Linked DNA regions of Elephas maximus indicus. The protein of the gene in region 1 purifies or fractionates together with the protein of each later gene. This does not show direct contact. Links are inferred from orthologs where the notes say so. Each region holds a gene or a part of one and is shown in the gene's direction. Other genes may lie near its edges.

Region 1 (7,583 bases):
TAACTCTGTCATAGCATACCACTCTGAAACTGTCTTCTTTGATTGGTTCATCTGTTTCTGTCTGTCTCCTCCACTAGGATGGGAGCTCCATGAGGGCAGAGACTACATCTGACTTGCTCACTTCTATGTCCCCAGCTTCTCACTACGGTGCCAGACACATAGTAAGGCCTTAATAAACGGTGGTCAAAAGAGTATCTGCTGGCAACACAGTAGGACATTGAAATAAAGCTTCGCTTCACAAAAGCTATGGACTTAGTCAAGGGGATTCATCCATATTTTGTTTCCTGTGGTTCCCCACTTGGTACAGAGCCTTCCGGATAACCAGATAGGTCCAGACGTGCTGGCGAACCTCATCGTCAGCACTTCTTTCAATCATTTAATGATAATCCTTAGTGCTCACCAAATTGGGGGGGAATGGAAGGAAAAGAGTTCACCCCAATCTTCTAGATGGGAATTCAAATTTTCGCCCAGGGACCCAATGTAGCCCACAGACATGCTTTGTCTGCTGCAGACTGTGTCTTAGAAGAATTTGAATTCTTGACCAAATTTTAAAGATTGAAACATTTTACATAAAAATCCAAATTCTCCTGAAAAATCTGAGGATCTGGCCACACTGGGCCCATGTTCCCATTTGGCTCCAACAAACTGGAGCTGGGAAGTGGCCACCCCTTTAGATGGGATGTGGGTTCCCCAGTTCACTGCAGTCTCTACCCAGCCAGCTAGATCCCCCTCAAAGCCTAAGGATGGCTTACAGATATAATTGGTTTTCAAATCTCTTATTTTAAATTACTTCAAATGTTACACGAAAGCTCAATGTATTAAACAGATAACAGTGATAATGTTGTTCGGGTTCGTTGTGAGTAGCCATGGAGTCAGCTCCAACTCAAGGCAACCCCACGGACAACAGAAGGAAACATCGCTCAGTCCTGTGCCATCTTCACAATTGTTGGTATGCTCCAGTCCATTGTTGTGGCCACTGTGTGTTCTGAGTGCCTTCTAACCTCGGACGGCTCATCCTGCAGCATTATATCAGACAGTATTCTATTGTGATCCGTAGGGTTTCATCAGCTAATTTTCAGAAGCAGATTGTCAGGTCTTTTCTCCTAGTCTGTCTTAGTCTGGAATTTCCTTGAAACCTGTCCACCCTGTGTAGCCCTGCTGGTATTTGAAATGCAGGTGGCATAGCTTCCAGCATCGTAGCAACTCACAAGCCACCAAAGTACAACAAACTGACAGATGCGTGGTAGTAATAGTAATAATAAAGCCCATTGCCGTCAAGTCGACTCAGACTCATAGTGACCCTGTAGGACAGAGTAGAAGCACCTTATAGGGTTTCCAAGGCTGTAACCTCTATAGAGGAAACCCTGGTGGTATAGTGGTTAAGTGCTATAGCTGCTAACCAAAGAGTCCACAGTTCAAATCTACCAGGTGCTCCTTGGAAACTCTATGAGGCAGTTCTACTCTGTCCTATAGGGTCACTATGAGTTGGAATTGACTTGACTGCAATGGGTTTCATTTTTGTTTCTTTTTTTTAATCTTTATGGAAGCAGACTGCCACATCTTTCTGCTGTAGAGCGGCTGGCTAGTGGGTTCAAACTGTCAACCTTTTTGGTTAGCAGCCGCTGCTTAACAACTGCACTACCAGACCTCCTTTAATAGTAATAATAAACAAAAAAAATCAAACCCATTTCCAACTCATTAGCGAATCTATGAGTCATCGCTATGGTTCCAACTCATAGCGACCCTATAGCACAGAATAGAACTGCCACATAGGGTTTCCAAGGAGCGGCAGCTGGTGAGTTCAAACTTCTGATCTTTTGCTTAGCAGCCAAGTTCTCAACCACTGCGCCGCCAGGGTTCCAATAGTAGTGATAGTTAATATCAATTTAGCAGTTACTGTGTGCTGTGGCTCTGCTTTGGTTGACTTGAGAGGGCCAGGGACTAGAATCCTGTCAGCTCCCCATTTTCCTCAGCAGGAAGTTCATTTGAAAGAAATAAATTTTAATCTACTCTCCTCATTTTGCAGATAAGCAAACAGGCCTGGAAAGAGGAAGGGACACTCCATCCATTAGGCAATAGACTTTCTGGCAAATTCTTGCATCAGCAAGGGGGTGTGATGGGGTGGGAGGTGGAGGGTCGGGATGGGGGAAGAGTTCATCCCATTATCCACTAGGATTGATCTTGGTAGCAAAGACCAACAGGGAATCAGTTCTTTCCTCCATGAACTGCGGTTCCCAGGAGCTGCTCAGACCTTCCCCTTGAGCTCAGGCCACTCTCAGGCTTGGAGCCAGCTAATTCCCTCAGGCATGTGCCAGCGAAACTGGGCTCTGGAGGGAGTTGCCCACGCGGAGAATGGCGTGTGGATAGAGGCCCTCCCAGCGTCCCAGCCCAGTCTGAAGTTCTCCTACAACCACGTGATGTCGACAGAGACTAACACACCTGCCACTTTGCATATGGAAACTTCCAGCAGTCTTCTTGTGGCTCAATGCATCTTTATATCATTCCATTGGGTTCTCTATCTGTGAAGGGGCTGCTGTGTGCCAGAATCGTGCTAGGTGCTCGGGATTCACTGAATATGAACAAGGGCTTTGGTTTCAGGATGTCCCACCCTGACTCCGTAACTTACTAGCTGTGTGACCTTCAGCAACTGACCTAGTCCTCTGTGCCTTACTTCATCTGTAAAATGCGGATGATAGGAATGGTACACAATTCCTAGAACTGGCTTGGGGATTCAATGAGATGTTTTGGCACGTACTAAAAAACATGAGCGCAGTGTTTGTGCTTTTCCCCACTGCACTTATCAGAAGCTGGTATTTTTATTTGCGTCTCTGTTTATTGTCTGTCTGGCTAACTAGATGATGTTCCATGAGAGAGGGACCTTGTCTGTCTTGCTCACCCTTGCTTCTCGGCCCAGAACAATGCCTGGCACAGAGTAGGTGCTCCATAAATATTTGGCTGCCCAATGAATTGCCGTCTTTCAGATTCCTGCGCTCATTGCCATTGCGATGACGCGCCTTGCCCTGGAGCAGCCCAAGGTCTCGTGGACTCCGGCGTGAGCCACCCAGCCCTCACCAACCAGCTGTTCACAGCAGTGCTGGGCACCGACTTCGAATGTCACCAGTTGGGCTCAGTGCCCTGGACTGACAAGGGACACTAGTATGACTTGCGGCGGACACAGTCACAGCACGGGAGAATGAGCTGGCGATTCCGGACAGCCAGGAGAGCCCCACACTCCAACCCCCCGGCGACAGTAGTGGGTGGGGGGGCGCCCAGGTGCATGAAGCCAGGGCCCCCAGGAGCGCACCGCTTCCGAAGATGGCTGCCCAGGTGGCGCCATCACCGCGAGGGCATTTGGGGATGGGAATTCCTGCATCCTGCGTCCCTTGAGAAATCAAATTAATTTCTCGGAGGAGGGGAAGGGCTTTCCAAACTGTAAAGCGTTGCAGGGAAAAAGAGATGTGCGGAAAGGTCAGGAAAGAGAATGTTTGCTGAGTGTGGGCTGCACTTCAAAATCCAACTAAAAGCCATGCGCAGCCCCCGGAGGTGCCACCATCTCTAGCCCCCACGGAGAGGGATGCACCTTGGAGCTGTTGGGAAGCGGGAGGGGAGTGGCCCGAAGTTTCACTGGGGATCTGTAGAACCCGGCCCCAGCCCGCACTGCCGGCCTCTGCAAACTTCTCTTCCGGCCTCAGCTCCGACGCGCGAAATCTGCAAACTCTCCCTTTATCTCCTGTGCACGCGCTCTTTCAACTTCGCTCTGGCTAGAATCAGGGTAGCCGTTCCGATGATTATGTAATTGCCGAGTGCAGGAAAGATAATCTAAAGACAGGGATGATGGATTTTTTTGTGTGTGTGTGTGTAGATTTTTAAACATCTTTTTTTTTTAATGTAAGTGTCACAAAAGTGCGCAGAGAAATAATATACAACACCCATATTTCCCACCGCTTAGAATGAATAATTGTTAACATTTTCTGAAGGCAAAATAAATCAACATACATCTCTTTATTATCCTCCCTCTCCACCCCCATCCCCACACCAGATTTATTTTAAAGCATAAATTCCAGAACCGCATAAAATCCGTTGCTGGACATCCACGTGGCCAAGTCTACAAACACGTGGCCCCAACGAACACAACCCTGCGGAAGCCGCAAAGCTCGGAGCGCACACGTGTGTTCCGCGCCCCCTCTCCTCGCAACCCCAACTCCCGCGTGCAACTTTGCAACTCACGCTCGGGCCGGGGGGCCTATTTGGTCGACCCGTTTGGCGGAAGGATCTGCGTGAGGGCCCAGTCACTCTCAACGGTCTCCTCCCCCTTCCCGCGCTCTGGCCACGCCCCCTTCCGCGCCCGGGCCCGCCCCCTCCCGCGCGCCCTATGGCCCATAAAGAAGTCCCGGTCGGGCCGCTGCACTCCCCCGCGCGCATCCGTGCGCCGCCCGAGGTTGGCTGAGGAGTCGGCGGCCATTTTGTTCTTCTCGTGGTTCCAGTGGGGAGAGAAGGAGGAAGCAGGGAGCGGGGCGGCTGGGGGGACCCGCCGCGGCTGCTGCCACCGCCGCCACCACTGCCTCTGTGCTCGTGGCGTGGGGAAGGAGTGCGAGTCCCGGGCGCGAGCCGGCGGCGGCGCCGCTGCGGGAGGGTCGGCGGTGGGAAGGCGATGGCGGATATAGACAAACTCAACATCGACAGCATCATCCAACGGCTACTGGAAGGTGAGAGGGACGGCGGGCGGCTGAGGGGAGGCGAGCGCTGGGGCTGTGGGCAGCCAGGGGCGCTCGCGGGAGGAGAGTTGGGGGGCCGGTTGGGCTTGCAGCACTGGGGGAGCGAACCCGCGAGTTGGCCGGCGGGCCGGGGGCTGCAGCTGGAGGGAGGCCGGGCCGGGATCCCGAACTTGGCTCAACCCGCGGCCCCGCTCATTCATTGCACGAGGTTGCAGTCTTTTTCTTGGCCTGAAATTTGAAAACTTCGCATCGCACCCCCACGTTTCCCGCCCCTGCCCCTTGAGCCCCGCAAAGTGGACCAGTCTTTGCAGGAGAGAAGGTCGGGGGCTCCAATCCAACCTGCAGGACGGCGGGTTCCGGACTTTAATCCGGCCAGGATCGAGTTTCTGGTACTTTTCTTCTCAAAAAGCAATTTGATGGGGTTGGGTTCCACCAGCTTTGGGGGCTTTTTCCTATCTTGCTTTATTTTTATCAGTTCCCCTGCTCCTCAAGTGTTTTAAGTTGTTCTTATGCTGAAGAGATCTCCGCGCTCTTTTCCTGAGCAGGAAAGCAGCGAGGGTGACAGTATCGTTAACATCTTTTCAAACGTGCCAGGTTTTAAGCGCTGTGTTAAGTGCTTTGCGTCCATCAAATTACAATAATAGCGCACACTTCTAAAGCGCTTACTATACGTCAGGCATTCTATGAGCACTTTACACAGATTTCACTTAATTGTCCCCACAACCCTGCCAGGTGGGTGCTATTTTTTTAATTTTTTCCCCCGTTTTACAGAAGAAACTAAGGCACAGAGAAGTGAAGTCACTTCTTCAAGGTCACACAGCTAGTAAGTGACAGGCTTCAAAGCCAGGATCCAGAACTCGCTACATTCAGCTGTCACCCTATAGATGACCCTGTGTGCAAAGGAAAACGGAAGGTGATGTCCCATGAATAAACTAAGGTTAAAACAAAACTTTAATTTAACCTAAGGTTTGAGGTGCGTGGTAATGACTCCTATTGATAGGGAGAGGGATGAGGTTCAGATTTTAAAGGGAAAGCTGAAATTGCTCTGCCACCTTCGGGTTCGGAAGCATGTCCAGTAATACAAATATCTCATCCCAGACTTGGGAAGAATTCAGCCACATAATTTCCTTTTTTGATCTGGGCACAGGGTATTGTTGTCAGTTTGGCTGAGTTGTAACTGCTTTTTGCTTGATACTGCTGTCCTCAAATAGGGTTGAATTTGCATGCACAGAGTGCATGCTAGAGCACGAACAACTGGGCAAAGTGGGTTTTGCAGATCTTTTGAAGTCATTAAAATGAAATGCCTGAGAAAATCTTTTCCTATTCTTAATCAGTGCCTTTCATTTTTCTTCTGTTCTACAGTATTTTGTAGCTTTCTTAAAAGAAAACTCATTTCACGACCCCTGAAATGCTCTTGAAATGTCACCACCATTTGTGGGTGAAAACCTTGTCATTCATTCAGTGCTTATAAGAACCAGAGACTAAAAGATCAAATACTTTTCATGTTATTTAGTACAGTTCTTTGATTGATATGAAGCAGTAGTTGGTCGTTTTGGCAGTGAAAAACGAACGTTTTGTTAAATATTTTTATTTCAGTTTTTAAAATTAACTTCTGCACATCTGTGCAGGGGTGTATGGCTATATTAGAATGGCTTTATGGTGGCACAGTGGTTAAATGATTGACTGCTAACCAAAAGGTAGCTACTAACCAAAAGGTCGGCAGTTCGAATCTACCAGCCACTCCTTGGAAATCCTATGGGACAGTTCCGCTCTGTCCTGTAGGGTCGCTGTGAGTCGGAATATACTACTCTCTGGCAGTGGTTTTTTTGGGGGGGGGGGTATTTCTCAGAGAAAAACCGAAAAAATTAGAATCCACATGGATTAGAATTTTAAGATAATTTAAATCTTGAAGTTCTGGTTTGCCTGTAACACTATTCACCTAACAGATTTTGGTAATTTTAATCTTAAAAAGGAAGAAAATTGTGCTAAGAAATTTACCTTCATAAAATGGGCCCATCTAAAATGAGATCAGTCATCGTTTCTTAATTCCTAGGTTTTTTCCAATGAAAACGAAGAAAACAGAACATTTTAATGCCTGAGGAATAGGCTAGCTGCCCAGTATTCTTAGATTTCTTTCTTGTGGGTGTTAAGATGGTAGAGAAACTGCGCAAGATAATTCATCGAGGATACGCATACATCCCAGTTGGGAGACGTTGATAATAAATTTGGTAGTGTTTGTAATACATATTTCAAAAGCCTTTTTCCCTAAAACTTTTAGTTAATATTTCAGTATATGTGAAAATGAGTTTTGTGGCCTTGTGAGACTTCTTTACATGTTCAGAATTATCTGATATTTAAGGTCCAGGACTGTGCAGCTTAGCTTAGAAGTAACAAAGGGGAACTCAAAAGTGAAGTCCTGTTTAAGAAAACTTGGTGTTGATTTATACCTTGGTCCTTACGGCTTTGCCGTTGTCTGACTGTGAACTTGGAGTAGTTTTTCCTGAAGCTGGGCATCACTTTTGCAACCCACCTGGGAAGGTAGAAGCTTTTATCTGAGCTCTGCCTTGCTGATGACAAAACCTTGAAGTGGTTGTTCCTTAGTATAAATGATGCTCACTTTTTACAGAACTACGTAGTAAAAGCGTGCATGGGGAAATTAGAGACAAAAGCAATCAGCTGTTGATTTGGTGTGATAGTCTATGTGTTAGAGAAAAGACCGAGTTGTGGCACAGTTGTGCTTTGTGAACGACCTCACTCAAGGAGCAGTGATGGTCAGCGCTTTTCTTGCATAGCAGCCGGCTGTGACTGATTCCACAACCTGGTTTGCTTTAAAAATGGCCATTGTCGGACTTGAAGTTCCTCTGGCCA
Region 2 (7,791 bases), on another chromosome or scaffold:
GAATCCATGAGCATAAGCCAAACCTCTGGAGGACAAACTGGAACCCATGTTGGGTCTCACTGACTCCAACCTTGGTGGTGTAGGTGTCCTACAGGAGAAGCTGGAAGCCTTCATCATAGAGCTAAACACATATCTGGCTCAGGAATCAGGTGGAGTAGTTGAAGGCCCAGCTACTACCCCAAGTCAATGAGGTTAGCCAGCTCACCAGTAACAATATGCCTGGGCCACAAAGCTTCTGCCCCAACCTTCCAAGTGTAAAAAACAATATGCCACTGCTTTTCTTCTACTCTCCAAATCTCATTCAAGAATGTCTCTTGTGATCCGTCCTAAATAAAAAACATACATTAAAGGGAATTCTGGGAAATGTAGTTCACTCTACTCAAGATAAATGCACACACATTCACTTAAAGACACGTGCTAGAATGTACAATACAGTATATATTATTTTTGTGTTGGACTTCTTTTGCTTGATATTATATCTACAGAAGTCATCTATGTTGTTGTATGTATTCAGTAGATTGTTATTTGTTACTATTGTATAACATACCTGTCTTAGCCAGTGCTACTACGACAGAAATACCAGAAGTGAGTGGCTCAATGAAGAGAAATGTATTTTCTCACAGTTTAGGAGGCTAGAAGTCTGAATTTGGGACACTGACTCTAGGGAAAGGCTCTCTCTCTGTTGTCTCCGGGGCAATATCTCTTTCTGTTTCTGCAGCCCCTGCATTCCTTGGTTCCCTGGCAATTTCCATGTGACACCTACCTTCCCCTTCATTTGTGCTTACTTCTCTGTGCCTAATCTGCTCTATTCGTGTCTCAGAAATGGTTAGATTTCAGATACACCCTACACTGATAAGAAAACTCTATTCCCAAATGGGATTACAACCACAGGTATAGGGGTTAGGATTCCAAAATTTATTTTGGGGGGACACAATTCAATCCATAACAATACCTTTGTATGGATTAAAACAAACAAACAACCCCATTGCTGTCAAGTTGATTCTGACTCATAGCAACCTTATAGGACCAAATAGAACTGCCCCATAGGGTTTCTAAAGAGAGGCTAGCTGGTGGATTCGAACTGCCAACCTTTTGGTTAGAAGCCGTGCTCTTCACCACTGCACCACCAGGGTTCCAAGTATGAATAGAGCACAATTTATTTATTTTCTATTGTTGATGGATATTTGGGTAATTTCCAGTTTAGGGCTATTACAATAGCACTGCCATAAATACCTGTATACATGTGTCTTGCTGTATACTTAAGAGTGGAATTGCTGGGTCATAGGATTGGTATTTATCAGCTTTATTAGGCACTGCCAAACAGTTTTCCAAAGTGGTCATAGTTGTTTTTTATTATTAAAAGTAATAGAATCCAGAATACCATGCGTTTACAGCTGGGGAAGATGTCCTGTATGTGCTCAACTTACTCTCCTAACTCGGAGTGTTCCTAATTCCTTACCATACTGCCCCCATCTCAAGGAAGCCTGGCAGAGGCCTAGGGCTTCCCTCTAGTAAGGCCCTTTGCACAGGAAGTCCCAGGGCCTCAGCATCACGTTGATGTTGACACACCCTCTTCTGGGTACACAGGCCCATTGGGCAGCAGTGGGGCAACCATGTACATTAGACCCTGCACAAAGAGGTCATTTCCTTCCTTTTCTTTCTTCCTCTGGAGACTTTCCAGAACTATCCGTACCCACTGTGGCTCTGGGGACTTCCCTGGGAGCCTGTAGTATCCCCAGGCATGGGGAACTCAGTATTGCAGGTCCTTCCAGTTGGCCAGTGAACCAGACTGCCCACCACTTAGCAGTATGAAGAGTACTTGGAAGGGAGAATACCACGGCTGTTTTTGTGGGGTGTGCCTCCCACACGAAGCTGTGAGTGCTTTCAACTCCACAGAGCCTAGTACAGTTGCTTGCTTACCATATACACACAGTAAATATTTGTTACAAGGAATTGCCAGTAAGGAAATAGCCCCAGGCTGCTAGTCTGTGTGTTTTCCACAGCCCACACCAAAGATGGTTGTGAGGAGAAAGACTTCATAAAAAAAAAAAAAAAAAGGTAGGCGTTAACCTGGATTTGAAGGAAGGGTGTTTTGTGTATGAAAGGAGAGTGGGAAGGGCATTCCAGGTGGGAGGGTAGTAAAAGGAGGAGGGCAGGATCACAAAGTGAAATGCCTGCACAGACCTGGAAGGAAAAACAAAGGTGAGGAAACAGGGAGTGGTAGAGACTATACAGTAAATTGGGGGCCCATAGGGTCACTGTGAGTCTGAATTGACTCCATGGCAGTGGGCTTTTTTTTTTTTTTTTAAGGTGGTACAAACTGTTAAGAACTGGGTTATTAGCTTAAAGGCTGGCCGTTCAAACCACCCAGAGGTACCTTGGAAGAAAGGCCTGGTGATGTTTCTGAAAGGTCACAGTCATTGAAAATTCTCTGGAGCACAGTTCTACTCCGATACACACGGAGTTGCCATGAGTTGGATTAGACACGGCGGGTAATCAGTTTTGTTATATAATAAATTGGAGTGGCCCTACCACTCAGGGCCAGAGTTTGGTGCAAGGGCAGAAAGTGAACCTGTGTTGCTAAATCTGGTATTTCCAAAGAAGCCTAGAAATCTGGAATCCAAAAAAAAAAAAAAGCTCCAGGTAGGCTTAACAAAATCTGCAGGCTACTTTGGGCCCACTGTCTACCAACTTTAGGACTTGAGGAAAAGAATAAAAACCCTTTGCCATTGAGTCAATTCTGACTCATAGCGACCCTACAGGACAAAGTAGAACTGCCCCATAGTTTCCAACGAGCTCCTGGTGGATTCGAACTGCTGACCTTTTGGTTGGCAGCTGTAGCTCTTAATCACTACACCACCACGGTTTCTGAAGAAAAGAATAGAGATGGGAATACAGTTGGGGAGCACAGCAGGGCCCATGCGACAGGGGTGTAAGAGGGCAAAAGCCTCTGGCAGGAGTAGGTCACTTGGGATCAGGCCGTGGAAAGCTCCCAGTGTCGGCGGCGCTGGATGCCCACATCTCAAACGCCAGAGTGCGCACGATTTACCCAAGGTGCTGCTAAAAAGTTTGCGAAGCTCTGCTAGCTAGAGACAGTCGGGGGACTGTTTGGAGCCGGGGAGGGTGGCGGTGGAAACAATAGCTCAGGAAGATTAATTTGCCAACTGCATGCAGGCCGGAGATTGGGATATAGATTAGGGGCCGCAGCGAGCCAGAGATCCAGAGGGTGGAAGCCTTGAGGGCTCTCCAAAGGCCGCAATCCCGGCCCTACTGAAAGGAAGCGGGGCCCCCAGCCGCCCAAGCCATCTCCCCCCTAGTCACGTTGGAAGGGGAGCCCCAAGCTTTGCGCAGCTCCCCGCGGGCACTTGGGAACCTGTCTACCGCAGGCGGAACCGGAGGGCGGGGTGGAGGGGTGGGCTCACGGATGGGCAGGTGGGGCTGCTGTTGGGACCCCTGAAGATCCGAGAACCACGCCTCTCGTTCCCTCGCGCGGTGGAGGCGCCCACATCCCACCCCACGGCGCCGAGCTAGGCGCATCTCGCTGCCATGGCGACTGCCTCCATGGAGATTGAGAGCAGAGGCTGAGGTCCCCGGGGGCGCCTGCACAGTCTCTTCCAACCCCCACCCCCACGTGCTTTCTTTGTTCTGAAGCTTATTCCGGGCCGGGCGGGGCTCCGAGGACTTGTGTCAGGTCCAAGCAGGAGCGCCTCCTCCGAGGCAGGTGTATGGGGTGGAGGAGGAAGAGGCCGAGGGTCACAGGGGGAAGAATGGAGGGTTCCTCAGGGCCTGGAGGAAACCCTGGTGGTGTAGTGGTTAAGTGCTACGACTGCTAAACAAAGGGTTGGCAGTTGGAATCCACCAGGTGCTCTTTGGAAACTCTAGGGGCAGTTCTACTCTGTCCAATATGATCGCTATGAGTCGGAATCGACTCGACGGCGCCGGGTTTTGGTTTTTCAGGGCCTTTTGGGACAGGACCTAGTGATGCCCGTATCAGTTGCCGAGGAGGGCGTGGGAGCCTAGGGAGAAAGGTGACCTGCCTCTGAACCTAGCATTTCGGCCCAAGCTTTGTCCGACTGCCGCCCGAGGGTACAGGGTCCACGGAGGGCACCTCCCAGGTGGAGGCCAAGGCAGGAGGTGCAAGCTGCACCGCCGGAGGTGGGGCGGGGGCGGGGCCTACCAGGAGGCTCCTCCCACCTCCCTTTCCTTCTGCCCCTCCGGGCACCAGGCCTGGTCAGGACGGCCCGGCTGTCTTCATCGCGAGAACTCGCCGGGCCTTGGTTGGCTCGGACTCGCAAAGCGCAGTCGCGGCGCCTCCGGCACGTGACTCTGGCGGCATATCGCCTGTTGGCGGTTCTCTGGCGCCTGCTCATTGGTCGGCAGAGGCTCTCGCCCAGCCCCTCGGACCGACCAATGGGCGTAGGCGGAGGCGTGCCGGTGAGGCGGGCGGCGCGGCGCGGGCTGTCTGCTAGTGCTCTGCGCTGGGCCCCCGCCGCTGCCGCCGCTGTTGCCGCCGCCGCTGCTGCCGCCGCCGCTGCTGCCACCGTCGCTGCGGCTGTAGTCCTGGCCCAGCCCAGCCCCGGGGTGTGCCCCGCTTGGCGAGACTGACCTTCCTCTGCCGCCTGCCGGTTCCGCCTCGCTCGCCTAGATCCCCTCCCGGTCCCGGCCCCGTCCTAGGCAGAAGGTACTGGGGACCCCGTCGGCTGTCGGGGAGGGACTGGGGCGGGGGGCTCCATTGGGGGGGCCGGGCTCTGGAGAGCTTCCCGGGCCCCTGAGGTGGGGAGATGACAGAACCCGGAGACGTGGGTGACCGTTAGTTGGTGGGGCAAGGGTGTTCTCCGCGGGGCGCTGTTGGGGGCAGGGGTGTCACAGTGAGGGCAGGGGCGTAATGGGGTCAGCCCCGACACCCCCCCGCCACTGCCACCGCCTCTTTGTGTGACCTTGGACGAGTAGTAACTCTGAGCCTCCGCGGTCTCGGCACCCCTGGGAAGGGGAGCGGTGATATCGGGGGACGGGAGCTCCCAAGACTCCTGCGTCAGCCGAGGTGAAGGTGGGAAGCGCCCCAGGTTATCTCTGAGGGACAGAACCTCTGCCTCGCAGGGGTATAATGAGAGGACGTCCAGCGATTCTGTCTGCGAGAAGATGATAATGGGGCTGAATGGGAGCGCCACACCCACCAGGATGGCGGCGGGAGAGGCGAGGATACAGGGTCCTACGTCCGGGGCTCCTGGTGCCACTGCCGGCTCCTGGTGCCACTGCCGGCTCCCTGTGTCATGCACCAGAAGGGATTCGAACCTGTGTTGCGGTTAGTTGAGCAGGGGTTCTGCTGGACGGAGAAGATAGGCTTTAGGTTCCTTTCCTCTTGAATCTTGGCACTGGGGAATCAGGAAGGGTGTTTCTCTGCCCCAGGGGCTGAGGAAGGTCAGAGGCAGCTGTTTCCCCCTTCCCCTGACCCCTGGCCTGGCCTCTACTTGGGTCCCCAGGACCACAGGCCCAGGGAGGGGCCTGGGAGGGGCAGGCAGTCTGGAGGCTAGGGGAACCTAAGCACCCTCTAGCTGGGGGTGTGTTTATGAGGAGATGGAAGGATGCTGTACAGAGGATGGCAGCGCTTCTTGGGGAGACAGGAGGGTGTGGGATGGGGAGATCCTTTCCCCAGTTCAACATCCCCCCCCCCGCACCCCACCTTTTGTGAGAGAGAGAACACCCATACTTAGCTTTGCACCCTTGGCTTATCTGGAGGAAAGGGAAAATGAGGTCGCATCAAGACTGAGTTTATGTGAAGCCTTCACAACTACACCTGACCTCCAGCCTTGCCTTTCCAGGCCTTGTTCTAGGTATACAGGGACCCTGTTGTGTGCCCAGTCCTGTATCAGATCCTGGGAGTCAGGAGGTCACTGTGACCCTGTCTCAAGTCCTCCATGGGCAGCGATCCCTTTATAGGCCTGAGATTTAATGGGAGGCTGGATGGGGCTTCTGCTGGACTGAGTGTTTGAGGTTGGGAGGGGAAGGGAGAGGTGAGAAGGGTGGGAGGTTATAGAGTTCCTGGCCCAAAGTCCTTGGAACAGGCTGAGAATGGAGATTGAGGAATAAATGAGGAGCAAGGCCTTGAGAGGTTGGGGGCATAGCCCGACCACACAATGGTGGGGAGAACAATCTGGGTTGCCCCACGATGCCTTGGATTTGAGAGCTGTCTCTGGGGCAGGTGGTGTGGGGAGTACAGCTATAGGGGTGAGCGGCGGCTTCCTGAGCTCTGCTTTGCTGTGGATAGACTGTTGTTGCTTTAGCCCTTCCTCCAGTCCGCAGCCTTGGGCCCAGCACTGGACACCTGCAGTAGCAACTAGCGCCCTCCAGGGCTGGAGTCTAGGGTGCTGAGAACTCTGGGTTCCTGTGTGACCGTCCATCTGTCTGCCCACTTGCGGTGCCTGTGAGCCTGTTCCTCAGGCCAGACGCTCCCCTGGGCCTGGCTGAGTGCTGCCTGGGCCGAGTAGCCTGGAACTAGCCTTTATTTCTAAAGCTCTCTGTCCCCCAGAGGGGAGTTCTCCCCATTTTCCCTGAGAGCAACTGAGAGCAACAGAAGCCCTTAAGGTCCTTGTCCCAACTTTCCAGCCCTTCCTATCTATGACTGTTTAGGGTCCTACCCTTGACCTGTTGATAGCCCATCAAAGGCAGGGGCAGTTGTCATTTTTTTTATTTTTTGAGGGGGGCACCATGTTCCTCCCTGGTGGCATTTCCTAGGATGCACATTCTCCACATCTTCCTTGTGATCAGGACAGAGGGTGGAGACCCAGTCCGGATGGCACCTGGATCCTCTGGTTGGGAGGAACAGGGGCTCCAAGCAGCCTTCTCTCTGGCCCTGCTGGGGGCCTGGTTGCCAGGAGTAGGGAGGGCAGGAGGAGAGAAGGAGGAGGGAGGTCTTTTCAATCCTTGGGCTGTTTTCTGAGAAGGCTGAAGTCCCTGGAGCCTACCCTGAGGGCCCTTCCTGGCTGTTGCGGGAAGAGCCTGAAGCACCTCTGCCAGTGCCTTCCTGAAGTTGTTGTTGCTTCAGAAACCAGCCTTTGGGGTTTGCTTTCACAGAGGTGGGGGGACACGCTGGGGGAACGTGTCGTTACAGAGCTTCAGGCAGCAGCTCTACTTGCCGCACCCTGTGGGTTAGTGTTCACTGAGCCCTGTGAGGGAGAGGCTGCCGCTTATTCCTGTGTTACAGATGAGGAAACCAAGGTCAGAGAATTGAAGTTATTTGCCCCCAGTCACGTGGCCAGCAAGGGCCAGAGCCTGAATTTGAACCAGGACTGCTGGGCTCTGGAGCCCACGCTCCTGATCATCTCCCTATTGCCTGGGGGTGGGACGGGTGGGAGGTGGGAAGGACTGTGCCACTTGGGGCAAGCTGAGGATTGGGCTGACACAGGAGGAGGCTGGAGGTAGGGCCAGCCTTGGGCTCGCTTGGGGCCTAGTAGTTCCCTGGACAAGACCGTAGCAGGGAGAGGCCCACCCCCTCTATTCCAGCTTATAACGAGGAATTGTGTGTGGACAAGGGGCCAGTGATTGGCAAGGCCCTTTGCTGTGGAAGGAGGTTGGTCCTCTAGCCTTCTGGAGTCCCTGGGTGGCACAAGTGGTTAAGTCCTCGACTACTAACTGAAAGGTTGGCAGTTCAAACCTGCCAGAGATGCCTCGGAAGAAAGACCTGGTGATCTGCTTCTGAAAGGTCACAGCCATGAAAATCTCATGGAGCACAGTTCTACCTCTCAGGGCACACATGGGGTCTCCATGAGTCAGAATCGACTAGAAGGCAGCTGG
Region 3 (7,778 bases), on another chromosome or scaffold:
TTAAACAATACCATTAATATCACAGGCAAGTAAAATTTTGCTGGAGATTACTCAAAAGCAGCTGCAGCAGTATATTGACAGGGAGCTGCCAGAAATTCAAGCTGGATTCAGAAGAGGATATGCAATCAGGGTTAGATGGATCCTGGCTGAAAGCAGAGAATACTAGAAAGATGTTTACTTGTGTTTTATTGACTGTGCAAAGGCACTCGACTGTGTGGATTATAACAAATTATGGATAACATTGCAAAGAATGGGAATTCCAGAACACTTAATTGTGCTCATGAGGAACTTGTACATAGATCAAGAGGTAGTCGTTCAAACAGAACAAGGGGATACTTTGAGGTTTAAAGTCAGGAAGAGTGTGTGCCAGGATTGTTTCCTTTCACCATACCTATTCAATCTGCATGCTGAGGAAATAATCTGAGAAGCTGGACTATATGAAGAAAAAGGAGGCATCAGGACTGGAAGAGGACTCATTAACAACCTGTGTTATGCAGATGACACAGCCTTGCTTGCTGAAAGTGAAGAAGACTTGAAGCACTTGTTGATGATGATCAAAGACCACAGTCTTCAGTATGGCTTTCACCTCAACATAAAGAAAACAAAAATTCTCACAAGTGGACCACTAAGCGACATCATGATAAACAGGGAAAAGATTGAAGGTGTCAAGAATTTCATTTTACTTGGATCCACAATCAACACCCACAGAAGCAGCAGTCAGGAAATTAAAAGATGTATTGCCTTGGGCAAATCTGCTGCAAAAGACCACTTTGAAGTGTTAATAAGCAAAGATGTTACCTTGAAAACTAAGGTGCGCCTGACTCAAGCCATTGTGTTTTCAGTGGCCTCATATGCATGTGAAAGCTAGAAAAAGAATAAGGAAGACTGAAGAAGAATTCATGCCTTTGAATTATGGTATTGGTGAAGAATATTGAATATGAATATACCAATATGAATATTGAATATACCAATGGACAGCCAAAAGAACCAACAAATCTGTCTTGGAAGATGAACAGCCAGAGTGTTCTTTAAAAGGAAGGATGGTGAGACTACATCTTACATACTTTGGACATGTTATTAGAAGGGCAGTCTCTGTAGAAGGACATCAAGCTTGGTAAAGTACAGGGTCAGTGAAATAGAGGAAGGCCCTGAGTGAGATGGATTGACACGGTGGCTGCAACAATGGGCTTAAGCATAATAATGATTGTGAGGATGGCACAGGACTGGACAATGTTTCGTTCCATTGTACATAGGGTCACTATGAATAGGAACAGACTCGATGGCATCTGACAACAACAACAACAAAATTTAAATTTAAATAGCCACATGTATGAGATAGCACGTATCTTCAAACAATCAGCTAAGTGTTAGAAGTGGGAGGTAGATTATGGACAATCTGAGTGTCTTAAATTATCAATGTTGTTTTAAAAACACTGTCATTCATTCTTTCAGTATATGTTTTTCTAGAAGTTTCACATTTTCAAAAAATAAACCCCAAATTCAACCAAGTTCTTTAGGCTGCTTTTCTGTATGAATCATCTTATTGCAAAGAGGTGTAAGACTGATTTTATTGCCAGCTCTGCCCCCTCTTCTACAGACAGAACTCAGTGATGGGGTTCTGCATTTATTTAACTTATTCTCCTAAAAAATCTGGTTTCCATACTGCAACTAAATGACAGGAACTTTTCCACTAAATTATCCCAGACAGCACAAATGCTCCTTCCAAAAGTGGAGACTGGAACCACAGCCCCCTCACATTGCCTGTTACATCTGTTTATACTTATAGATGTGACATCTACTACCTGGACAGAAAATGCCAATTTCTTGGGAAGGGCCCCAGAATTTGGTGAGGCTTGGGGAAAAGAACAAAAAACAAACAAACAAAAAAACTTATTCTTCAAATTAAAAGATATATAGAATTGGGTAGTTACAAGTCCTTCTGAATTTAAGGGAGAAGGATTTTATTCCCAGAGTATAGATTCTGTGTACAGAGTTGCCTGGGTTCATACCAAGCCATAACCATTTACTAGGTAATAAACCCAAACCCAAACCAAACCCATTGCCATCGAGTCAATTACGACATATAGAGACCCTGTAGGACAGAGTAGAGCTGCCCCAGAGGGTTTCCAGGAGCCCCGGTGGCGCAGCGGTTAATAACTATGGAGAACTATGGCTGCTAACCAAAATGCTGGCAGTTCAAATCCACCAGCCGCTCATTGGAAGCCCTACGGGGCAGTTCTACTCTATCCTATAGGGTTGCTATGACTCGGAATCAACTCGATGGCAACAGGTTTGGTATTGGTTTATAGGCCAAGGCTGTAATCTTTACACAAGCAGAATTTTTCTCCTGAGGAGCGGCTGGTAGCTTTGAACTGCCAACCTTTTGGTTAGCGACTCAACAGCCAAGGCCTTTAACCACTGTGCCACCATGGCTCCACTAGCTGATAAAGTTGAGGGTAAGTTACTAAACCCAAGCCTCGGTTTCCCAACTGTAAATACAGATAATATTAGTTCTGTTGAAAAGACTTGTGAAAGACTGAAATGGGCAAAGGATTAGTGGAAGAAATCCTTTTATCTACACGATCTTCCGGAGTTTTATCTGATTCTGTAGTAGCCTGCATCTTTGACTGACTTTGCTTATGCAGCTAAGTCAGTTGTAGAAACTTATGGTAACACAAATGACTTTTATCTGTAGAAATATAAATTTAGTTTGTCCTTGAGGGATACAATTAAGTTTTGTCCCATTTCAAAAAACCAAACCCACTGCCCTCAAGTCAATTCCGACTCATAGAGACGCTATAAGATAGAGTAGAACTGCCCCACAGAGTTTCCAAGGAGCACCTCGTGGATTTGAACCGCCAGCCTCTTTGGTTAGCAGCGGTAGCACTTAACCACTACACCACCAGGGCTTCCATTAGAAGAGATAACTCCAAACATTTCATTTTAGTGCCCTGTAGAATATTCCATCCCTTGTCTGTCAGTTTGTCATGCTGTGGTGGCTTGCATGTTGCTATGATGCTGTAAGCCATGCCATTGGTATTTCAAATACGAGCAGGGTTACCCACAGTGGATAAGTCTCAGAGGAGCTTCCGGACTAAGACAGACTATGAAGGAAGGCCTGGTGATATACTTTTGAACATTAGACAGTGGGAAACTCCTTATGGATGACAGCAGAATATTGTCCAATATAGTGCTGGAAGATAACTCCCTTAGGTTGGAAGCCACTACACAATGGCCGCAACAATGGACTCACATGTACCAACAATCATGAAGATGGCACAGAACCAGGCAATGTTTTGTTCTGCTATACAAACAGTTGCCATTAGTCAGAGCCAACTGAAGGCAACTAACAACAATATATTAACCAGTTTTGCTTTTGCGTGTTCTTCAGATTCTAATTTGAATGGATTGCAATATCTCAGTGGTTCCCTCCTCTAATTAAAGAATCTAGTAAAATTTTTGAGTACAAGACAATGGTGGTTCAGTAGCATAATGATCACTTTTCCTGCAGGAGACCCAGGCCAATTCCCCACCGATGTACCTAAGGCACAGTTACGATTGTCTGCCAGTGGAGGCTTGTGTATTGCTATGGTGAGGTTTCAGCTGGAGTTTCCACACTGAGACAGAGTAGAAAGAAAGGCCTGATAATCTACTTCCAAAAAATGAACCAATGAAAACTCTATGGATCACCATGGTCTGATCCCTTGTGAATGGGGTCACCATGAATCAGGGCAACTGAGGGGAGCTAACAACAATAAAGAACTTTTTCTTTATAAGAGTTTTTAGGAGGATTGGTTGAAAACTTTATATTGACAGTTATAATCAGTTTTATATTTTGTAGTAAGGTATAACACTGCCGGTATTTTGTGTTTGTGCAGGGGATGTTGAGCATTTATAAAAGCGTGGCTGGGTTGAAAAACACACCTTATGACAATAAAGTGAGAAGACACTCTCGTCCCTTTCCTTTTATCATTGGGGCCTAAGGTTAAGGACACAGCGGCCTAGTTGGAGGCCTGGGACGCCAAATGGCCTAGGTTTTGGCCCAGAATAGTGACCTGGAGTTTTGCATGCCCTAGGGTTATGGAGTTAACTACACACTCCAGACAAACTCGGGTTCCGGCAGCGTGAAGCTCCAAAACTGCACCAGTGCGGGAGACCGGACAGGCCCCAGAAGAGCAGGCCTGTCCCAGGCCCCAGAGGCCCCTAGCCTGCTGCCGGCCGAGGGGGTGGGGCGGCCTCGCCTCGGGCCGCTCCGTGCTTTTCGCCCTTCGTTGGCCGCCAGAGGCTCCCTCTCTCTCCCTCTCCTGGGATTTTGCTGCCGGGCTCCCTCTCTCTGCGGCCCTAGAGTTAATTCCATCAGCCGAGGTGAGGCACCTGTTACCCCGGGCCTTCCTCACCCACGAGGCCTCCCTCCATTACACCCCGGCCTCCCCGGGCCGCCAAACGGTCCGCCGCGGGTGACCGCACGTGGCCGAAGCCCCTTCCCCGGCCGCACCCCCACCCCGGCCACCCGAGTGTGCGAGCGCGTCCGTGCCCGGGCCGCCGCCCGCTCGCCCGCAATGGCGTTGGGGAGCGCAGCGCGCCACCCCGGGCCGCCCGCCACGGGCAGGGCGCGCGTGGGGGCCGAAGCGCGACTGGCAGCGGCCGCCGCAGCCGCCCTCCTCCCTGCGCCGTGAGGAGCCGGGTGGGTGGCGGGGCAGCGAGCAGGACGGCGCGTAGCCGAGCCGCGGCCACCGTGGGGTGGGGGGGCGCCTATAGGGAGGGGTGGGAGCCGCGGCGGCCCGACCCTCCCCGCCTGCGGCGGCTCCCGCTCGGGTAAGGGGGAGGCTGTGCGCGGGGCGAGGAGTTGGGGAGGGTGGAGATGAGGAGGAAAAAAATCGGGGATGTACAAAGGCTGAGTTGCAGGCTGCGGGTGGGGGTGGGCTGTGGTTGGGGAGCCGTAGGTTGAGGATCCGAGGCATTATCAGTGGGATCTATTGTTTCCTGGCACGTTGGGAGGAAAAACAAAGGGATTTATTATCATTACTCAGTAATTTTTTTTTTTTTTTAACGTGGCCAGGGAGCTCGGCTTTCCCTGTGCCACACTGGGATCCGCCTGGCAGCCGCCGGGAGCCGCAGCCAATGTGTTAGGACTTCAGGTGCTTCTTGGCACAAAGCTTGACTGCGACCTCCTACCAAAGCGCTTGGCGTCACCTGCTCTCCCGGCCCTGCCCCGGGGCCGAGGGATTGCGTCCCGAAACAGGCTTGGGAATCTGCTGCCTCTCAAGTTGGTGTTATTTATGTTTGTCTTCTTTTTTGTGAGGGCAGGTTTTGAATCCCCCGTCGGCCCTATCGCCCCCGCCCCCGCCCCCTCGGGTTGGAATTGGCGGGGGAGGGAGTGGGGTGTAGGGGGGAGGGGAGGGTGTTGTGGCTTAAAAAAAATGTAAGGGTAAAAGGAGATTGTCTATGCTTTAAAAAAAAAAGAAAAATACAGGCACCACACTCTAAAGCCCTTCTTGTTTGTCTGCATGGGCCATGCATGTGTACTGGGCCAGGAACTGAGTTTGGAGAGGATTTAAGTGAAAGTGTGTGCTTCTTCAGCTGATTGTGTGTTAAGGTGATGTGGCTCAGTCTAATTAAAAAAAAAAAAAAAAAGAACAAACCCAGACAACAACAACAGCAAAACAAAATAAAAAATCTAGAAACTCTGTTGTCTGCTCTTTAGCAGATTTTGGAGTATTTGATTTCTGGCATATTAATATAAAATCCAGCTGTGGGTTAGAGGAGACCAGCAAGCATGCATTGAATTTTGAGTTTGTAAGTCAGAGACAAGAAGGAATAAACAAATCAAGGCTATGAGGAGAGGTTTCATGGTGTGTTTGCTTTCTGGTTGTCACTTTCTCATACATTTATCCCCATGATTTTCTCCATCTCCTTCCAAAACTTCCAAATATTTGATATAACCAAAGTTAGAGTGAAACTTACTGATATTTTAAAACTTTCTTCTGCATGTTTTGGTCTGAAATTGTGCTAGTGTTGCTTTGGAGATGTTATAGATGAGAATATGAGACCAGAAAGAGTGAAGCAAGCATGGTAAGAGTTTGTAAACAGTGATTCCAAACTTTTAATTGTAATCAAACAATAAATTCTACCTGATTTTGGATAATCCCAAATGAAATTGATTTTATGGACAGTTTGATGACTTCTTAAGGATATCTGAACTGCTTTATTTTAAGGACATTAACAAAAACAACCAAAACTGGAGCTAAAGTATTGCTTTCAAGTGTACTTTGTTTAATTTGTATGCGTGCATGCCTCTGTGTGTGTGTGCCTCTGTGTGCGTGTGTGTGTGTATGTGTGATTTTGTTAGGGAGCTCCAGGTTGTGTTTGAAACATTTTTGTTACCAAGACCGGACAGAATTACAACTTTTATCTTCTTGACTTTTTAACTTTCCATTTCAATAAGTAATTTGTTTTGTTTGAAATATGGCAAGCCACTTTTAAAATAAAGTATATATTAATGGACTAAAAAACATTCAAATAAATAAATGAATTCAGAAATTCATTCTTTTCTGTTACAGATGAACTTCTAGTCTTGCTTTGAAAAAGCCATTTTGTGTTACTGTTGCCTGTGAATAATTCCCTAATACACCTGTTGGGAGGATCACTGACTGAGTGTGCCATTTGAGAGATACTTTTTCTTGGCCAAATACTGATGATTAGAGAAGAGAGTGGTTTTATATTTTTCTTTTTTTGATCATTATGAACATTGGCTTTTCACTTCTGAAGTAAAAATGTTGAAAACTGAGTCTTCCGGTGAACGAACCACTCTCAGAAGTGCCTCTCCTCACAGGAATGCATATAGAACTGAGTTCCAGGCGCTGAAAAGCACCTTTGACAAACCCAAGTCAGATGGGGAGCAAAAAACAAAAGAGGGTGAGGGCTCTCAGCAGAGCAGGGGGAGGAAATATGGCTCCAATGTCAATAGAATTAAAAACTTATTTATGCAGATGGGTATGGAACCCAATGAGAATGCAGCAGTCATTGCCAAAACCAGGGGGAAAGGTAGACCTTCATCTCCTCAGAGAAGAATGAAGCCCAGAGAATTTCTGGAGAAAACAGATGGCTCAGTTGTTAAGTTGGAGTCCTCTGTTTCAGAACGAATTAGTAGATTTGACACAATGTACGATGGCCCTTCATATTCTAAGTTCACAGAAACTCGGAAAATGTTTGAGAGAAGTGTGCATGAATCAGGACAAAACAACCGCTATTCCCCAAAGAAAGAGGAGAAAGCTGGAGGTAGTGAACCTCAGGATGAGTGGGGTGGGTCCAAGTCCAATAGAGGCAGTACTGATTCCTTGGACAGTCTTAGCTCTCGGACAGAGGCTGTCTCTCCAACTGTGAGTCAACTGAGTGCAGTATTTGAGAACTCTGATTCTCCCAGTGCCATCATTTCAGAGAAGGCTGAAAACAATGAGGAATACTCAGTGACTGGGCATTATCCACTGAATTTGCCATCTACTGTTACAAATCTTGACACTTTTGGACACCTTAAGGATTCTAATTCTTGGCCTCCCTCAAACAAACGAGGTGCTGATGCAGAGGATGCTCAGAAGAGCAATACAACTTCAGCACCGGAAGTGGCCTCTAAAGGTACTCTAGTTTCAATGCCTAGTGGAGGGATACAGCAGAGCAAGGAAACCGAGGACGCAGTATCTAACCAAGAGGCTCCTGACAGAATTGACAAAGACATTTCTGAACAGCCTTCTACTGAAAATAAGGCAATGCCAGGGTCTAAA
Region 4 (8,344 bases), on another chromosome or scaffold:
CAACACTTGCTGTTTTCCATTTTTCTGGTAGTAGCTATCCTAGTGGGTGTGAAGTGGCATCACATTGAGGTTCCATTTGCATTTCCTTAATGACTAATAATATTGAACATCTTTTCACTTATGGGCCATTTGTGTATTTTATTTGGAGAAATGTCCATTCAAGTTCTTTGCCCGTTTTTAGTTGGGTTTTTATCTTTTTGTTGTTGAAGAAATCATACATTTGAATGGTTCAGGTCAGGTTGGCTCTGTGATATTTTTCTTTTCCAGCAGAGTGGTAGTCAGAGAGCAGGTATGGAGAAAGCCCATAGCTGGATTTATGGAAAGCTGTAGATTGTCAAGGTGGGCACACCTGAAGGACAAGGACATGCTGGTGAGAATGTGGTTGAAAGTCTTAGCCATGAGGCCCAGTCTGGGAAAAAAGTATAGACAAGAGTGCTGATAAATTGAGAGAATAGAAGCAGGTGGAGGAAGTAAAGGTCTTGCTAAGATTAGCAGGTGTGTTTAGGGGAAGTAAGGGAATGGGTTTGATAAAAGGACAGAGTTTGGGGCTGAAAATGGGTTTCTTAGTGTAAAGTGGAGTAGTGGTTAAGTGCTATGGCTGCTAACCAAGAAGTGGGCAGTTCAGATCTGCCAGGCGCTCCTTGGAAACTCTATGGGGCAGTTCTACTCTGTCCTATAGGGTCGCTATGAGTCGGAATCGACTCGACGGCAGTGGGTGGGTTTTAGTGTAAGCTTTCAGAGATGAAACAGTTCTGGGGTTTGGATGTGGGAATAGGTGGATAAAGGAAACGTGAGTTGGGAGCAAAAAAAAAAAAATCACAGGAATATGGCTGAAAAGTTGATAGAAAATTCTGATGACATTCATGAGAAACTGAAAAAAAAATAGCTCTCCCTGAAGACATTATAAAGAACAATATGTAGAGACGTCATTTTATGGACATTTCTCTCTTAAAACAATTAGCCAACACAATAGCAAGTTTCATATTCCAGATTTTTGGCTTGTCTTGAAAAGTAAGATGATTCTGGCAGCATTGAGCCAAGATTCCCTCATGGAACACGAAGATTCCTCATCAGGTTACCTGAGTCCCCATTGTCCATACTGCTGTCCCCAGCCCCCAACTGGCTAAGTGTCCGGTTGCTATTTATCATTATGCTCCTACCATATTTCTTGGAGTTAAGAGGTAAGTGAGATATTTCTTATATCCATGCCTCTATAAAAGCTGGAAAACCAAGGATGAATTGGGAAGGGTAATCCTCTATATTTGATATACAAAGTATATCAATGTTGAAAAATTACAAATTTTGATGCTATTAGGGAACAAACCCATGCAGCTTCACTCATTACATCACCTGCCTGGCTCCCACAGGCATTTGAGTTTTTGCAGTGGCTCCGGTAATAAAATAATAGTAGAAATGCAGTCAAATACATGAGAGAGAATTTATAAAGTGTTGTGATAAGCAACAGTAATTTTTGGAGTGAATCATATTAATCTATGCTGTTTTATTTTTGCTGATAGAATAATCTTATGAAATCCCTGCTAATACATAGATTCCCTCACAGTGCTACGTAACTCAACAGCCACAGAGAATGATTTAATGAATTCACACAGTTGTTCTTCAGTGGCTGGGTGGCACTGTAATTCCCTGAGTGCCTAACTTGTTCGCAACCAAACCCGAGTTGATTCTGACTCATAGGACCCTACAGGACAGAGTAGAACTGCCCCCATAGGGTTTCTAAGGCTGTAATCTTTGTGGAAGTAGATAGCCAAATTTTCTCTGCAGAGCTACTGGTGGGTTCGAATCACTGACTTTCCAGTTAGCAGCTGAGTGCTTTAACCACTGCAACACCAGGGCTCCTTTGGTAGAAGACAGCTCCAAGGAAAATGGGTAAAGGATCTTTATTGTCAGAAGAGAGGAAGAAGATGGAAGTGAATGTTTTTGGCAGGTCTAACTTGCCACACTCTTGCCCTGGGAGAAAGGCAATTTCTATACATCCCTTCATATTGAGTGTCATGATAAAATAAACATAATGCAAACCATAGGAGCATAATAGTTTAAAATCAACATCTTGGATTGACTCAGGAAGCAAATGGGACTCCAGTGTGGACCAGCACATTGACAGAATCTGCTATCTCCTTGCAGCAGTTTGGTCTCCCGCTTTCTGCTCAAGTTAGCTCTCACATTAAGCATGTGGAGAGCCATCGAATAAGAAGGCTCAGATATTGAACAGCGTCTTTAGAGAACAACAGGAAATCAAATGAGATCGAAGTTTGGGAAATGAAAACTGTCATAATACATCGAGGGAGAAAATAATCTGAAGGCCAAGTGTGCAGTGAGTCAGAAAAATCCGGACAGTTGTAATGTTAGAGCCTGCGAACTGGAAACTAGATAGGAATCCATAACCTACAAGAGTATGAATGGCAGCAAGAAGTCAGCCAACAGCGTCAGTGTTATTTTGGGAGGCCGAAGGGAGGATTTTATGGCCCAGCAGCTTGAACAGCTCAAGTTTTAGACATCTACTTAAAGAGGTAGACAAACTGAAGACAGTTTGGTGAAGAGTGACAATGATTAAAAGCTGAGACTCATTGAAATATGAGGAAAAGTTGAAAAGAGTTAAAACTATATACTGCTGGTATGATATGGATGTAAAATTTTAAAGACTTTTTATTGACTTTTAAAATTATGAAAAATTATTCATCAGAACCCAACCATTAGTATATGGATATAAGAAATAAATTGGCCCAGGCATCATGGTGTTACCCAGATTGAGCATTTTATTAATACGTTTTTGGTTTTTGTCTATATCTTATTGCTCTGCTCTGAGAGTTAGTCTGAAAGAACTATTAGAATTTGCTGAAGAATGACTATGATGTTTTGGCTCTTTTTCCAACTCTAATTTCTATGAATTTTAAAATGCTATGAAAACACTTCAGCAAGAATTCTGGCAAAATATTTACAATTTCTTCAATAACATTGCTCATGGAATAGGAGAAATGGCAAGCAATCACTTAGTAACTGCAGAGGACAAGCAGGAAGGAGGAGAAACAATTGCTTACTCTGCTGTTCATGATGGAAAAAAAAAATCTGAGTTTAGCTATTAAAAAGCCAGTTGGGAGCTGAAAATTGCCTGTGTCAGAGGAACACGCTGCTTCCCATCCCCGTATCGAAGAAACAGTGCCTACAGTTTGGCTGTTTGTGTGATGAAGAAGTACAGCAAGCGTGTGACCAGCGGCTTGTGGGAGACAAGCACTTACGGGGATAAAAAGAAACCTGGCACAGGCCTTGGGCTTCTGGCATCATTAGTTACAGGTCTGCCAAGATGCTTGGGGAAACATTTTAATTTAAATGCCACGTCTATTTCAACGAAGTCTCCCTGGTTTGACCTGTTGGGAGTGCAGAGTGAGATGGATAGGTGCTCATTTTGGAGGGCATTAGGGAATGAAATGGTGGCTTTAGAAAAAGCATCCTGGAGTTTTAAACCTCAATATGCCCCCACTCACCCCAGGAAACCCATTGCCATCCTTGTAAACTAAATGGCTCTCCTAGCATTATACTAGGGATTGGTCAATGTGTGGAGAAAAATTAGATACGAATGCAGAAAGGGCAGAAATACCTCCAGGCATTTACTCAAAATATCAAAGTTAGAGAACTTGAAGAATAAAGGCTCCAGCATTCTTTCCTTCCCCCATAGCAAACTTACCATTATGCTTTTAAATCAGATAAAGCAGATTAAGAATCTAATTTGAATTATTTGGATCTATTTTTTTGCAAAACTATCACAAGACAGAAAACACTACTATTTTTAAAACAAAACTAGAAAAGAAAGGTAGCAAAGAGATGGAACTGAATAAAAGAAGAAGACATTGTTGCCCATCGATGGGAAAATATTTGTTAGTGTAGGCCCAGGTTGGCAAGAGATGGATAGAAGCTCAATCGAGGGTAACAAAAACATGAATCCAGAGGATCAGAAGAATTAAAACGCCCCCAAGAATAACGGGAAGGTGTTGGATGCTTTCTAGGGCAAGAGTAGGTATGTATATGAACGTAAAACAGGTTTCCTCCAAGACTACTTGGCAGTTTGCTACACATCATGCTAATAACAAGGTCTTCAAGTTCATCCCCCCAGCAGATGGGATCAGCTTCTCCTTTGCGTCCTGCAGGAGTGTATTTCCCGAAAAGGGAACACAAGTTGGATCGAAGTGTAGGGTGCGACAGAAGGGTGTGAAGCTGGAGCCCAGGGAGCCTGGGATGGAGAGGTGGGTGGGGCTAGGCAGGGTGGGGCCTCAGGCCCTGTCAGGTGCGAGGGAGGTTTTTGTTCAGGGGAACGACGTGATCAGGGTTGTTTTAGGCGGACCCAGTGCTGAGGAGTTGATTCCGATTCATAGCGACCCTATAGGACAGAGTAGAATTTCCCCATAGAGTTTCCAAGGAGCGCCTGGCGGATTCGAACTGCCGACCCTTCGGTTAGCAGCTGTAGCACTTAACAACTAGCCACCAGTGTTTCCCTGAAGCCTGTTAGGGGGGACCAAAGGAACCGGCTGAGGCGTTACCCCCAAAGATGAGCCTGACCCAGGGCGGGGCCCGCAGGGGACTGGACCACCTGGCGTCACTGGGGGCGAGATTAGGCAGCGGGCTGGGAGGGATGGCGGAAATCAGTGAGGGGTGCCTAAGAGCACAGGATACGCTCTGCCTATATCCTCTGCTTCTCACCCCTCACTCCCGCCGCCCCCAGCATCTTTGCAACTAGTTGGATCAATTCACAGTTCAGGAGCCCAAGGAAACGGGATTGGTTTTAATACGTGAGATGGGTCTGCCCGGCTGGGGAAGCCCAATGAGGGGTCTTCCGGATAGCATTTTCCTGAACTGCTTGGGACGCTGTGAGTCGGACGGAGTCGACTCGACGGCAATGGGCTTGGTTTTCGTCTGGATGGCGGGGAGAAGCGGGAGGCGCAGCGGCTGAGCCCCCGAGGCCGGAGCTGCGCTCCAGGCCCCGTGGCCTGTGCGGTCGTTGCGCCTCGGGGCCCCGGGCGGGTGATTGGCAGTTGCGGCAGATCCACCGGAGGGGCGGAGGGTATTAAGAACTCGCGGCCGCCGCCCGTCGCCGTCCCTCGGCAGCGAGGTCGCCTTGGCCCGATGACCCGGCCGCGGCGAGAGCAGCCGCGACGGCGGCGACCTCGAGCAGGAGCCCGGCGGCGGCGGTGGGTCGGGGGAAGGAGGCGGGAGGGTCCCCGCGGCCTGTAGGGGGCAGCGCCGAGCGCGGGCGGAGATGGCCGCGGGCCGGGTGGGTCCGCAGTCCCCCCTCGGGGAGCTGCCCCTCGGGCCGCACCCGGGTCTGGGACCGCCGAGCCGCCCCTGGCCGCCGCGCGCTTCCTCCCCGCGCCGCGGGTCTCGGCAGGTCCCGGGGCTGGGGCGGAGAGCACCGAGGGGCCCGGCACGCGGCGGCCTCAGGAGTTGGGGTCCGCCCGGGGCCGCGTGACCCTCGGGAGGCGCCTCCGTGTGGCCGGACAGCGTTGGAGCGTCCGCCGTTTCCCCTTGGCCCTGCGCCCCAAGTGGGCGTCCTGGTCCGCCGAGTGGGTGCCCGAGCCCCCAGGGAGGGTGCCCCGTTCCCGCTCGGTGGGTGCCCCCGAGCCCGGGGCGGGTGCCCTGCGCCCCTGGGAGAGCGCGTGTTACCTCGGGGTGGAACCTCGCGCCCTTGGGCTGGGAGCTCCTTTACCCCGGGGTGGGCGCCGGGCCGCGCGGGTTATTTTTGGCGCCCGCGGCGGCGCGTGTGTCGGGGCGTGTTTTCCTTCCCCAGGTGCCGGGAGCCCGGCTCCGCCGCCGCGGGCGCTGACTCGGGTCTCTCTCTTCTCTCCCCTGCAGGAATCTTCTGATAATTCTGTCGCCACGACTTTAACCGTGCGCGAGGCGAGCTCGAAACAAACATCACATCTAAATTAAAAAAAAAAAAAAAAGCGGAAGAAGCAGCCGAGGCGGCGGCGGCGGGAGGAGGAGAGGAGGAGGGGCCGCGCGGCGGCCCGAGGCGGCGGCGGGGACGCGGGGACGCGGCTTTGTGCTGGCGGGTCGCGGGGCGCCCATGGCGGAGTGCGGCCGGGGGGGCACCGCCGGCGGGGCCCTGCCCACCTCCCCGAGCCCGGCCCTCGGTGCCAAGGGCTCCCTGAAAGCCGCAGCCGGGGAAGGCGGTGGCGGCGGGGGAGGTCGCCTCGGCCAGGGGCGGGCGCGCTATGACAGCGGCGGGGTTTCCAACGGAGACTGCAGCCTCGGCGTGTCCGGGGACGAAGCCCAAGCCAGCCCCGCCAGGGGACCCCGGGGAGCTGCGCTCGCCCTGACTCCCAGTCCGGCCGCTGGTCCCCTCCCCCGGGAGAGCAAGCCGGGCGGCCTGCCCCGCCGGAGCAGCATCATCAAGGTAGGTGGAAGAAGGGCGCTGATAGCCCACCCCCAGCCGGCCTCGGGGTCTGTTTCCACGGGGGAAGGGAGTGTAAGGAGGGAGATGTAGGGGGAGCCCACTGCTAACAGGAACACGGGTTGGATGCAAATGGCATTTGGAAAGAATGGAGAGGTGATCCCCAAGGTGCAGCGGGAGCTGTGTGCAGGCATCCCCAGTTAAACTTGAGGCTGTCACCTCTTGCAGAATTGGCCTGGAATTATGACCTGTACCTGCCTGGGCAGGGTATGCTCTGTCTCCGGTAGCCTGTGTTGGTAAAAGACACCCTGTGTATTTCAAGGACAGTTGAGGATTACGTGGAAACATTTTCTTAAAAATTCCAAGAGGTGAACAGAGATTATTTAATAGGTTTCTTCTGATTTGTGTATGTAGTTGTCTCTTGCAAATGGTTATATTTGGAGGGTACACAATCTATATAGTCATTCAGTCATATGGAGAAATGAAGTAGGTTTCTGAGCATAAATGCAGATTTCTGTCTTCTTGGGCTCAAAAGCCCTGAGAGATTACAGTACTACACGCTTTAATCTTTTCCTTACTGCAGTAGGCAGGCCTCCAGTTCTTCTGTGGAAGTTCTTTTGGGCAGTTTGCTCGGGTTTCTTATCTTTTGCACCGTGTTATTTAGCAGAAGAAAGCCAGCGCTTGTTTTGTGCATTTTAAACTCAAGAAGTAATATTTGAAACTCCTCAGTTTGTTGTGGTTTCCTTCTAATATTGCCCTTTGGTCGCAATGTAAAAATATTTCTTGTGACAGAAAGTGAAAAAAAAGTTGATGAGCTAGGAAGAGCAAAGCCTGAGGCAAGACTAGCTCATTCTGCAAGTTTGGAGTAAATATGAAAATGTGGCTTTCTCAAAATCAAGGGGTTACTAGGACGTGAGCAGTAAAGCACATTGACAGGGCTGCAACCAGACTTCCTGTGGCTGATAGCTGGTGGGAGAGAAGACAGAACGTGCCACAGTGAAGAGAGTTGACACTGGTGGTATGTGGAATTTAATTGGATCTGTAAGAAATCTCCCAAGTACTGTAAAAATGTCTGATGATGTTAGCAACTTCTTCAATCGTCTAGTGAAATATACCACCTTGATACACTCTATGTAACACAGTTGTGAAACTGCCTTTCGCCATGTCATCTGTTTGCACAGTTTATGTCTGGGCAAGGGCACAAATGAAGGACTTAAAGATCAAGTGTTTTAACTGCGTGCAGCACATGTTTAGAGTTAAGCTAAGGAAAGTAAAATGTGTTTTTGCTGCATACGTAGCTTTTAGTGACTTATATTTTCTTTCGCTCTGTGGCTTACGTTTCCGTGAAAGTTGCTTTCAACTGTGCATAGTAATCAATACCACTGACAGAGTTACATGTCATTGCTTTTGTTGGTTACCAAATATTTGTCATAATTTTGCTTTGTGGTGTTGAGTTAATGAACTTTGACATCAGAGTTCCAGAGAAGATACCAGCCTACCGATTTTAACCACCTCCTCCAATTTTTTTTTTTTTAGGGTTTATTATTTGCATTTAAAATGTAAACTTCGTTGGTGTCTATAGTGGGATTCATAGTGTAACTTATTTAGTTACAATCAGCATCTGTTTTAATTACATTCATGGGAGAGTAGAAAGAGGGTGATGTATCAGTATTTCTGATATAGGGAATTGAGAATTTAGGAGATATTTCTTCATTGAGTGCGCTGGAAGAACATGGGAACATGGTTAATTGTTCAGAAATCACTGGTTTTAGAAATGACGTTGATACTTTTATGGAATTCTGAAACTTTGACAGTTATTTTCTCACTTTCTTTCCTCCTAATGGAGGCAAGGAAACCCTGGTGGTGTAGTGGTTAAGAGCTATGGCTGCTAACCAAAAGGTTGGCAGTTCGAATCCACCAGGTGCTCCTTGGAAACCCTGTGGC

The links.
Region 2: the proteins of PPP1CC (region 1) and ADISSP purify together in Homo sapiens (affinity purification with mass spectrometry; 5 studies listed by BioGRID and IntAct, counting the BioPlex papers as one, with this or other methods). This does not show direct contact. The link is inferred for Elephas maximus indicus from reciprocal best matches to the Homo sapiens genes PPP1CC and ADISSP.
Region 3: the proteins of PPP1CC (region 1) and PPP1R9A purify together in Homo sapiens (affinity purification with mass spectrometry; 6 studies listed by BioGRID and IntAct, counting the BioPlex papers as one, with this or other methods). This does not show direct contact. The link is inferred for Elephas maximus indicus from reciprocal best matches to the Homo sapiens genes PPP1CC and PPP1R9A.
Region 4: the proteins of PPP1CC (region 1) and PLCL2 purify together in Homo sapiens (affinity purification with mass spectrometry; 3 studies listed by BioGRID and IntAct, counting the BioPlex papers as one, with this or other methods). This does not show direct contact. The link is inferred for Elephas maximus indicus from reciprocal best matches to the Homo sapiens genes PPP1CC and PLCL2.

Annotation. Positions count from the first base shown.
Region 1 is NC_064840.1:9,270,755-9,278,337, reverse strand, and holds the start of PPP1CC (serine/threonine-protein phosphatase PP1-gamma catalytic subunit), read left to right. Parts: upstream 1-4,433; 5' UTR 4,434-4,651; coding exon 4,652-4,706; intron 4,707-7,583. UniProt on the Homo sapiens protein: Protein phosphatase that associates with over 200 regulatory proteins to form highly specific holoenzymes which dephosphorylate hundreds of biological targets.
Region 2 is NC_064843.1:42,367,841-42,375,631, reverse strand, and holds the start of ADISSP (UPF0687 protein C20orf27 homolog), read left to right. Parts: upstream 1-4,456; 5' UTR 4,457-4,681; intron 4,682-7,391; exon of another isoform or gene 7,392-7,791. UniProt on the Homo sapiens protein: Adipocyte-secreted protein (adipokine) that acts as a key regulator for white adipose tissue (WAT) thermogenesis and glucose homeostasis at least in part through activation of protein kinase A (PKA).
Region 3 is NC_064826.1:64,809,347-64,817,124, forward strand, and holds the start of PPP1R9A (neurabin-1), read left to right. Parts: upstream 1-4,222; 5' UTR 4,223-4,365; intron 4,366-4,619; exon of another isoform or gene 4,620-4,684; intron 4,685-4,747; exon of another isoform or gene 4,748-4,815; intron 4,816-5,059; 5' UTR 5,060-5,266; intron 5,267-6,560; 5' UTR 6,561-6,773; coding exon 6,774-7,778. UniProt on the Homo sapiens protein: Binds to actin filaments (F-actin) and shows cross-linking activity. Binds along the sides of the F-actin. May be involved in neurite formation. Inhibits protein phosphatase 1-alpha activity.
Region 4 is NC_064845.1:23,278,439-23,286,782, reverse strand, and holds the start of PLCL2 (inactive phospholipase C-like protein 2), read left to right. Parts: upstream 1-5,105; 5' UTR 5,106-5,198; intron 5,199-5,267; exon of another isoform or gene 5,268-5,613; intron 5,614-5,670; coding exon of another isoform or gene 5,671-5,928; 5' UTR 5,929-5,965; coding exon of another isoform or gene 5,966-6,073; coding exon 6,074-6,403; intron 6,404-8,344. Other genes in the region: atherin-like, read right to left, coding at 235-349, 5,671-5,928, 5,966-6,075. UniProt on the Homo sapiens protein: May play an role in the regulation of Ins(1,4,5)P3 around the endoplasmic reticulum.